Linked DNA regions of Drosophila melanogaster. The protein of the gene in region 1 interacts with the protein of each later gene in a pairwise test. Each region holds a gene or a part of one and is shown in the gene's direction. Other genes may lie near its edges.

The links.
Region 2: the proteins of Met75Ca (region 1) and Ddr interact in a two-hybrid assay, tested with the Drosophila melanogaster proteins (one large-scale study listed by BioGRID).
Region 3: the proteins of Met75Ca (region 1) and Phm interact in a two-hybrid assay, tested with the Drosophila melanogaster proteins (one large-scale study listed by BioGRID).

The regions. Positions count from the first base shown.
Region 1 is NT_037436.4:18,471,543-18,473,961, reverse strand, and holds Met75Ca (Met75Ca), read left to right. Parts: upstream 1-1,577; 5' UTR 1,578-1,597; coding exon 1,598-1,753; 3' UTR 1,754-1,819; downstream 1,820-2,419.
Region 2 is NT_033779.5:6,251,248-6,255,007, forward strand, and holds the start of Ddr (discoidin domain receptor), read left to right. Parts: upstream 1-1,875; 5' UTR 1,876-2,082; intron 2,083-3,760.
Region 3 is NT_033778.4:23,986,428-23,990,187, reverse strand, and holds the start of Phm (Peptidylglycine-alpha-hydroxylating monooxygenase), read left to right. Parts: upstream 1-1,732; 5' UTR 1,733-1,885; coding exon 1,886-2,074; intron 2,075-2,512; coding exon 2,513-2,570; intron 2,571-2,633; coding exon 2,634-2,721; intron 2,722-2,778; coding exon 2,779-2,851; intron 2,852-2,879; exon of another isoform or gene 2,880-2,904; coding exon of another isoform or gene 2,905-3,468; exon of another isoform or gene 3,469-3,573; intron 3,574-3,760. Other genes in the region: Pask (PAS kinase), read right to left, coding at 1-1,201, 1,270-1,357; CG30178 (uncharacterized protein), read right to left, coding at 2,905-3,468. UniProt on the Drosophila melanogaster protein: Monooxygenase that catalyzes an essential reaction in C-terminal alpha-amidation of peptides. Produces an unstable peptidyl(2-hydroxyglycine) intermediate.

The DNA.
Region 1 (2,419 bases):
TTTTATTTTTCGTTGGGCTACGAACTCAATTAGCTGCCGTGCGTAGCGTAATTAAGTTGATGCCACGCCCAATTCGATAACCTAAACCTATTCGGGCGTCCACTACCTGCCCACGCCATCCGCCCCCCAAATGATCCAGTTTTATGCCACCTGACGTCGCCTCGCGATGTGTATGCAAATACATTATGCGAACTGCTTTCGAGCTGGCTTAAATTAATTTATCACGTGCCAAAATAAAGCAACTACCGGTGGCTTCCCCCCTCTGCATTTTTCGTGTAATTAATTAAATTCGAGTCGGAGGAGCTCCTAAAAGTTCGCCACGAACAAAAATTGTTTGCTTCGCTAAAGTTTAAGTTGTGCTCTTAAAAATTAAGTTCTTCTTTTGCAATTCCGGGGCATAAAGCTATCCGCTTACACATAATGGCGCCCCACATTCGGGCGCCCCATGTGCCCTACTCAAGTCCAACTTTCTGGGTAATTATGTCTCCATGTAAGCTCCGGGCAGCAGTCGTCACTCAGCTGGGTTTTACCGATTTTCCGATTTTCCGATTTTCCTTTTCGGCTTTTGCTTTCTATCCGAAAAGAGGAATATTAAGTATTCATTGGGAAACGCAAGAGAAAATCGGTTGAAGTGGTTGCGGGAAGTTGCCGAAAGGCAGCGTTCGTCATTTCAAATTGAATTTTTAATTTTTAAATACTTACCAACTGGCGAAAAAGAGTTGCAACTATAATGCATGGCAAAACTGTGAAAAACGTCAATGGCACTTCCAATCTAAATAAGTAATTTTTTAAAGCTTAAGTAAGGGATTTATCAGTAGACCAAATTTTGTAAACTTTTGTTGGGTAAATTGATTCTTATAAAAAGGTATTATGGGAAAAACTGAGACTTAAGGAAATTAATTACAAAGCTCATTGATACAAATTTTCAACAGTTATTATTATTGAAACACATATTACAAGTTTTCTAAAGTCTCTTAAAAAGACTAAACACACTAAAACAAATTAGGCCAAGGCAAGGTAAATGGGATCTTAGTTAAATTAGTTATTAGCTAAACTAACTTTGCAAATCCCATTTGTAATGTAATGTAATCGATGCAAAGCTAAAATAACTATTTATTTACTGAACACAGCCCGTAAAAAGTGCGTATTGAATTTCCTTCGATGTGCGAAGTGCAAGTGATTAAACAAGTAAGTGCGGAGTATTACATGTGATGATGTGGTGCTTGACGGGAACTCAATTCTCTTGGCAAGTTCAAACAGAAATCTAATTTAAAGCGGCTAGAAAGACTGAAGAGATCTGAAGAGAGACGGGTGGGAAAATGGGTAATGTGTGTCTGTGGACTGCTCATTTCGCTTGTTTACGCATCCAACTTGCCATCAAGCATACGCCAAGTGAGCCATCGCAACAGAAAGGGTCATCGGAGAAATGTTAAACTAGAGCGAACAGCTTACGTAAGTGATGGGATTTAAATGCCGGAAAAACTTAAATGGCAAGCTTAACGCCGTATCACGTAGCATCCATATTAATTGCAACGTGTAGTCGGGTATAAATAGCTCACTACCTGCCACAGCCGATCATTCAGCACTACTCGACAAGATGAACGTATTCAATGGTTTCTTGCTAGTCTTCCTGGGCCTGGCCCTCAGCTCTGTGGATGCACAGATAGCAACACGCCAGGAAACCTCGGAGGACAAGGCTTGTGGTCCCCACGCCTACTACAATTACGCCCGGCACACTTGCCTGCCATTCTAGGAACCTTTCCAAAGTGTCCTATGCCTAAAGAAATAAAACGTTAAGGTACTAAATGTACCAGAAATTAATACGCGATGTTTAAGTTAAACGGGAAAAGAGGGTGCAGCATAAAAAGAGTGGACATTACATTAATGGTAATTCTATCCTTTTGGGAGATGCTTAAGAAGAAGATCATTTACAATACTTCTTACTGTTCAGAACCATCGATTTAGGTTAAGAAAATAACTAGATTTCTTATTATGAATGAATTGGTAAGCTCAATGGGCCATTATTTGAACGACCTTCAGCAGCTACCTCATCCACACCATGACTCCGAGGAAATGTTGGCAATACGTGGAAGAGCTTTCTTGAATGCACAACTTTATGCCCCTTTCACTGCTTCGCTAATTAATTCACCCCTAAGAAGAACGGTTTCCCAGTCCCAGGAAGCTGCATCATAAACCAACTTGTAATGGCGACTGCAGTCAGGCCAACGACTCTTATAAATGATTCTTAGAAAAAGGTATTATTGGAAAAACTGAGGCTAAAGGAAATTATTTACAAAGCTCATTGATACAACTTTTCAACAGTTATTATTATTGAGACACATATTATACATTTTCTAAAGTGTCTTAATTAATTTTAGCTAACTCAAAACACTAAAACAAATTAAGCCAAGTCAGTGTA
Region 2 (3,760 bases), on another chromosome or scaffold:
CTCTCTGTCTTAGTGGGTTTTGGAATTTTCAAAGTTGCCTTAAGCCCCCGTGCTGCAACTTTCTGACAGCCGGTGATTGAATGTTTGGCAACGACATCGGGGATTAACTCGGCAGTTATCCTTATCAGCAGTCCGATGCCACCGGGGCCATTCAGACGCTCGTTGGCCAGACATGGCCCTAATTGAAGTGGCAACTTGCTTTAAACTAATTCCCGGCGATACACGCTTCAGCCATATGTTTATTCAGAAAGTGTGCCTGTGCAGATAAAAGGTATAAGATGAATTTGTTATTGAATAATGTCAAAATCGCATAGCCTTGCTAATTTCTTGTACATAATCCCTAAACGCAAAATTAAGCACATGTGTGTAATTTATTTGCTTAATTTTAATGCATTTTTGGTGTCACATTTCTTGGGTCTTTTATTAAGATTGACTACGCATAATAATTAGAGAGTTTAAACATTACGTTTTTGTTGCACAAAAAATGTTGTAAAAGCTAACAACATTTAACTGCATTTGATACAACAAAATTAAACCAATGTAGGTTTTCTATTTTAAGGGCTTTGCCTTGAGCTCTTGTGTATTTTTGAGATACATTTTACTTTATATAAAACGTAGATATTGATTTTTCTGATTAATAAATAGACAACTGGTTTCCAAGCAAATAAAGAAATTTAAGAATCGAGGCAATATTTAAGGATGTAAATGCGCAAAAGCCTTTAGGGTTTTACTCTCTGTTTGAATAAAATGTCATAAACAGCAGCCCACTTAATTAAATATTGGTTACTTGCATCTTTTGATATTTATTTTTTCCTCTTAGTTGCGACAATTTTAAAGTCTTTGTTGTTATCTTTTTTACATTTTTTTTATGATATCATTTTTTTTTACACCTCTCATACTCGAGTTATGAATATTGTAAAGGTAGAAAAATAAACTCCATTACTATATTGGTTAATGAAAGTTGAATACATTTCGCGGTGCCATGTTGCTTTACTTTGTTAAAACTTTTTTAAAAAAAAGTTGCATTCGCTTCCGTTCAGGATAATTAATTTTTTCGATAGCCCATTTTGATTTTTTCCATAATAACTCTTTTGCTGGCCGAAAACTTTTGTAGTTGTTTACATGACCCCCATCCCCCCCGCGGAGTTCAGCTGTTAGGATCCACAGCTCCTTATTTACCTTATGTAAATGTAAATGCTTATCAACAGGCAGCCGCGCTCCGTCTTATACGACGAAACAACGAGAGTCGAAGAGAGCGGAGCACGCTCTTAAATTGCAGAACTCTCTGATACAGTTCAAGTTAATACAAAGTAACGTTGAGTTTGTTTTGTTTGTGTGGGCGGGCTGGGCGGTGAAAGGTGAAGCAGGTCCAGAAATGTAATCAATAATTTTAAATATTTAATGCGCTAGCGAGAGAGTTTTTCCAGAAAAGTTGTGAAAAGAGGTATTTTCTTTTCAAAAACTATCTTAGCAAATGTGTCCAGTTTTGTATTCAATTTTGCATCAGAAACTATGTACCTTTATTTGTATTTACAAGCCAGAATTATGGACTCACCTGTGCCAGCAACAACTCACCTCCCCCTCACACAACCTACTCATACTTTTCTCATCAAACAAATGGGATCCACATGCGAGCGAGTTTGCGCCAATGATGAAAGAGAGTGGCGCTCTTTTAACCTACTCTTTCAAGTACTCTTTGCGACAGCAGGAAACGTCGCGCAAGGAAATCGCAAATGTTTCCTCTTTCGTGTGCATGTGTGTGGTGTCCTCCGTGCTGGTTCGTCTGTGTGCGTGTGGATGACATTGTGGCACTCGTTGAGGCAGCTCCAATTGACGGGCCAGTAGTCGTTGCGAAACTTTTGCTGGAGCAACGCGTCGGACAACTGGCGGTGTTGCACCTATCGTTATCGGCCATCGGCAATCGATTGTCGGCAATCGGCTATCGACAACAAACTATCGTTATCGGTTATCGTGTGTGTCGACCTTGGTGGTGATTAGTGTTAACGGTAACTTAACCATGTGCAACATCATCAAGCGAATATTGGATCATCCGCAGGACTCCAAAGGCCTCCGAATGTCCAGGTGAGCCCGTATGCTTTTCCACCCAGTTTTGCCACCCTGGCGACCCGCTTGCCACCACGAAAATTAACCTCGTTTGGCTTAAATGTAGTTAACTAAAGTTAAACGACCTCTAATGTCGATTTAATTATGTGAAAATAAAAGTTATGATTTCGTTTTTCGGCTTTTAGCTCATCTTAATGGGGTGATTAACGGTAATTCGCATGGTCGGGACGAATCCAATAAAAAGTTTAAGAAGTAATTGAAACTAATTAAAACTATGCTCACCGAAATATGCACCTAATATTTGCTAACAGCTTTATGATGCCATTAAAGACCGGCCAAAATTTGAGGGGGAAAAGTTGGCGGCGGCCAATCAAATTTGAGTGCTCCAACTTAAAATTAAATTATTTTGCTCTACTTTAACTTACATAACTCAAACCACTAATTGCTAACAAAACAATTTCAAATGGAGCTCATAAACTAAATCTTTAGTATTTCGCAGTGCCTGCAAATTCGACTTAACTTCTTACATGCCAAAATGCCATAATTATTGTGATTGTTAAAACGAACTAATGGATTGATTATAGCTATTCACAGCTCAATAGTTGAGGTTTAATGGGGACCTTGAAGTTATGATAATGAAATGTCTGATTAAGTGATAGATACAAAGCGCATAGTTCGGGCAACAAAAGGTAGCAAACCGTTTTAGCGCCTGAAAAACCCGCAGGCATTAAGATACCAGCTCAGATAGGCGTAGAGGTGATCGTGGGAACGAACTTTGACCCCTGCCAGTGCATTCGTTTTTAATTAAATGGAAGAGTGGACAGTGGAGGCCAAAAGTGACTTTTGAAATGGTCAGGCAGATAAAAGTGCAATAACTATAAAGCGAGGGTGGCGCAAACGCTATCGGCAGTCGGATCCTGGAGGTCGTGGACTGGGCGAACCCAAACACGCACAAATTTGTTAAGCGGGTCACGTAGTCCGGGAAATCCCATGCCATCCTAGCCAGCCCCTCTGGGTGTTGTCATCAACACGAAAATAAAAATAGAAAATTAAACTTGAAACGCGCAAAATGGCTACAAATGCTCTTGCTCTGCGCTGTGAAAATCGATTTCAATAAACTTTAATTCGTTTTCGTTTTCCCCACTGAAGTCATCGGATGTGGAAACCTTGAAAATGACGCAACAAATTAAATGCCAATAATTTAAAACAATTGCGACTCGAAATGCCAAGTAAAAGCAACCTTAAAAAGCGACCAGAGCGAGATAGCGTTTTGTTTATGGCTTTTAAATCTAATTAAATTCCCATAAAGACCGCGAGCGATATCAAAAAACAGCGCTGCACGTAGAGTAAATAAATAAATAAAAAAAAATGATTTTAAACTTCAAACGGGTTCAACGACTACCAAGCCCCGCAAATAATTGAAAAAGACAACTAGGGGGCGGAAAATGCAAAACGGCGATGGGCAACAAAGGGTTAATGTGGTGCAGTAAAGTGCGTGTGACAGTCCACGAGGGCAAACTAAAAAGGGGTTGATGTAAATTGCACTAATGACCTGCATTTTGAGTTTGAACAGCGATTCATAATTTAGCCAAATGATTCGTCGAACAGAAGGTGGGAACTCAACCACCGACTTGTTTCGCATTGAAACACGCAAAATGCAAAAGCAAAGCCCTGCCTTAAACCTGTTCAATTTTAT
Region 3 (3,760 bases), on another chromosome or scaffold:
TCAAACTCGTCAGCGGGGAAACTGTTTGAGGCATTTACAGGTGTTAGAATGTCATCTATTGTACAATCATCTGGCTGGCGGAGGTCGCAGAATAGACCACTGCTGTTCTCCAGATTGCAGCTTAGGTGGGCATCGCCCACCGAAGACTGTTCGTTGTTGGGCGCCGTCCTGTTAGTCGAGCTCTTCTTGCAGGATTGCAGCGAGGAGTCGTTGTCCACGACGAGGGGATCCGTGTCCGGCTCCCAGTCGTTACTGGTTATCGAGGTGTTCGAAACATTCGGACTCTTCTCCTCGCGAGAGTCCTTGCCGAAATTGGGTAGGATCGCCGATATATGCATGTTCATTATCTTGTCCTGACCATATCCGAACATTAGCAGCGAGAAAGGCTGGTTGCACATCAGTATGTTGCCTATGTCATCTACCACAATCAGGCCACTAAGATTCTGGAACACCCAGACGGTGATATTTAGACCGGTTTTTCCCGAATGGGAATACCCCGCAGAAGCATCCTCGTCCAGGGCTATTAGCAAGCACAGGGGAAACTTTACGTTATCCGTAGTTCGACCAGTAGCTCTCTGCTTCCGCAGGCTCTTGGGGATCTCACGGCTATCCGGATCGGGCAGCTTTATAAACGGGATAAGGGTGACAATGCTGACACCCACCACGCTTTCGACGGATTCATAAAAGAATATGGTGGCCGTGGTGGAGTCAACGGATGTTATCACTCCGGATCTATCGGTGCTGATGTGGCAAATATGCCTCTCCACAGGCTCCGCGACGGCTATGTGTCGGCCATCGCTGCTGATCTGCCGGATCCAGAGAGAGACCAGGATCTTGCCGCCCGACTTGGTCTTCATCTCGATGACCTTTCCACTTAGCAGGACGACCCGGCCCTCATCGCCTTCGATCTGCATCTCCGCCAGGGAGGAGATGTGGCTCTCTGTCTTGCCGTTAAGCAGGTCGAAGAATCCCTTGTTCCTCAACTCCTGCGACGTGTAGCCCAGCAGCTGGCAGGCCTTGTTGTTCACTATAAAAATTTGCCCTGTGTTCGCGTCGATTGTGAATATCGCCTTGTTCGGGTTGATCACCTTTGAGGAGTGCAGATTGGGGGGGGGCATGCTGAAGGAGCTGGCGTCCATCATGTTCAGCATGCCGGACGAGTTCTGGCGACTCTGACTGTGGCTGCCCATAATGGGGTCATCTGGGAATTACACGATTTTTTGTAAATAATTTAGTACCGCTCTTGAGTGTACATCTATATAGCTTTACCATTAGCACATCGGTTTCTGGAGCACTGGGCATTCGAACTACTCAGCTTACCAGCGGCTTGGTCTGTCACGTCGCCCTGATCCTCCATTTAAGCGTCGTATGTTTTCCAAGTCCCAGCGGTTCCAACTCGAGGCCTACAGCTACAACCAAATGAGCGCACCGTAAACATTGGGAACTCTGCTCGTAGAAAATCAATTGAATGGCGCATGCGAAAAGGGGAATTCCCCAGTGGGTCGAACGGAACGCAGACACGTTGAATTGGGCTGGCTTTTGTGGGGTTTCCTTTTGCGTTGAGGTGTCTTTAAATCACTGTATTCGAAAGGTTGAAAATTACACTTGGTTTTATGTACTTTAATGCGAACAAGTTATATATATTTGAATGTCCCGCTAACCCTTAGCCTGCAGCCCTGGCGCCGTCATCGATATAATGGCTCTGGGTATCGATTGCTGCCTAGAACGCACTTACTTACATATAAACTGGGCCTAGCTACGTGTGGAAAAATATCGGAGAGAGCAATACAAAACGTATTGTTCTTCCAAACAGGAAGGTTTTTTTTCGTTTTCCACAAAGTATTCAGTGCAGTGCACACTCGAATATAGTTCGAATACGGTGAAAATGCCACGCATATCCGAAATAGCCGCTTCCGTGGGGCTGCTCCTGCTTATCGGAGTGATCAGTGTGGATGGCCTTGTGAAAGAGGGGGATTACCAAAACTCCCTTTATCAACAGAATCTCGAGTCGAACTCCGCAACAGGCGCAACGGCTTCGTTTCCATTCCTGATGCCCAACGTTTCGCCCCAGACCGTAAGTCCAGGTTCCTGAAAAACGCCATACATATACATCATGGAGTTCGCTCCATATGGATGAACAGATTCGCCCAGCTGCAGCTGTGCGCATACAATTCCAATCAGATTAGAAAAGTCCTCGATATAGGCTCTGGTTTTTCCCGTATCTTCCGCGCGGGGAAAACCCATAAGAGTACTGTGCAAATTTTTCCATATGTTCAGTTGTACCCGAATACACACAATTCGCCACCCACATGTAAGGCCCTGAAACCGAAACCTGTAGATTGCACTTCTCGAACCTGCGCCGTAGATACGAATTTGTTTTTACGAGGGTGGCGAAAAAGGGCAAACGGCCCACTGAAGGCCATACTCCCATTTGAATAATACTTGTTGACTTATCCAATATGCCTGTTCTCTCTAACAAAACTAACAAATATATATATGTGTACATATATAGCCCGATCTGTACTTGTGCACGCCCATCAAGGTCGACCCAACTACCACCTACTATATTGGTACGTCCTTTCGAATGAGATTCATTCCTTAAATACTTCAACTAACCTTTCTATCTTAAATAGTTGGCTTCAATCCTAATGCCACGATGAACACGGCCCACCATATGCTGCTCTACGGATGCGGAGAGCCCGGAACCTCGAAGACCACCTGGTGAGTTGCAAGTGATGTTTTCAGACTAGTAAATAACACGCACATTTTTGCTCACAGGAACTGTGGCGAGATGAACCGAGCTTCCCAAGAAGAGTCTGCCAGTCCTTGCGGACCCCACTCCAATTCCCAGGTATTAAAAGAAAAAGAAATGTCCAAATAGGCCCCCAGATAGACACCACACATTTATTGGGCCGACAAATTTCGGGGACTCGGGACTACAGTTTGGCAGGCTGCGCAAATGGGTTGACCGTTCTCGATCCAGAATTCCCGTGCGCTGATCCTTTTGCGGCAGTGGTGGCACTTAAAGCACTTGGCATGCCACTTGGTGCTCAGCGCGACCACGGCTCGACGATCGATTGGCTTCTCACAGCCTGCGCAGCGGGACGAAAACAGTTCCCGGAAGTGCGCCTTGCAGAACAGGTATCCGTTGACTTCAAAGAAGCTCGCCGAGACCAGCGACTTGCTGCAGCTCACGCACCGGAAACACTTTTCGTGCCACTTGCGCTCCGCAGCAGCCACGCCGCGCTCTAGGATCGGAGTCCGGCAGGCGGAGCACCGAGCGGCATGCTTGTCCAGATAGCACTCGCTGCAGACCACGTCGTCGTCCACCGCGAAAAACAGTTTAGGATCAACCACCAGGCCGCACTCCTTGCAGGTGAAGTGGTGCGGATGGTACGTCTTACCCAAGCTGCAAACTGCCCGTGGCCAAATCTTCTCGTTGCATCTGCAGCAAATTGAAGCGGACATACTAGGCAGCTTTCTGATAGACAAATTATAAATTTTAAGGAAAAATCGGAAAGATAGTTTTAAAGTCAAATTTTGTCTTGTTCTTGACACAAAAATCGAACTCATATATAGTAACATTTCAAAACGATTGATGTGGCATATGAATAAAGATCGAAATGCGCGGATAATTAGGAGTTAACTGGCTAAGTTTTAATAGGTCAATCCTTGACAGTCAGCACAGTTTAATAAGAGTTTTGAACCTGTTTATCGAGTTTTTCCTTTAACTAACTGCCAAATGTGCTAATAGACAATT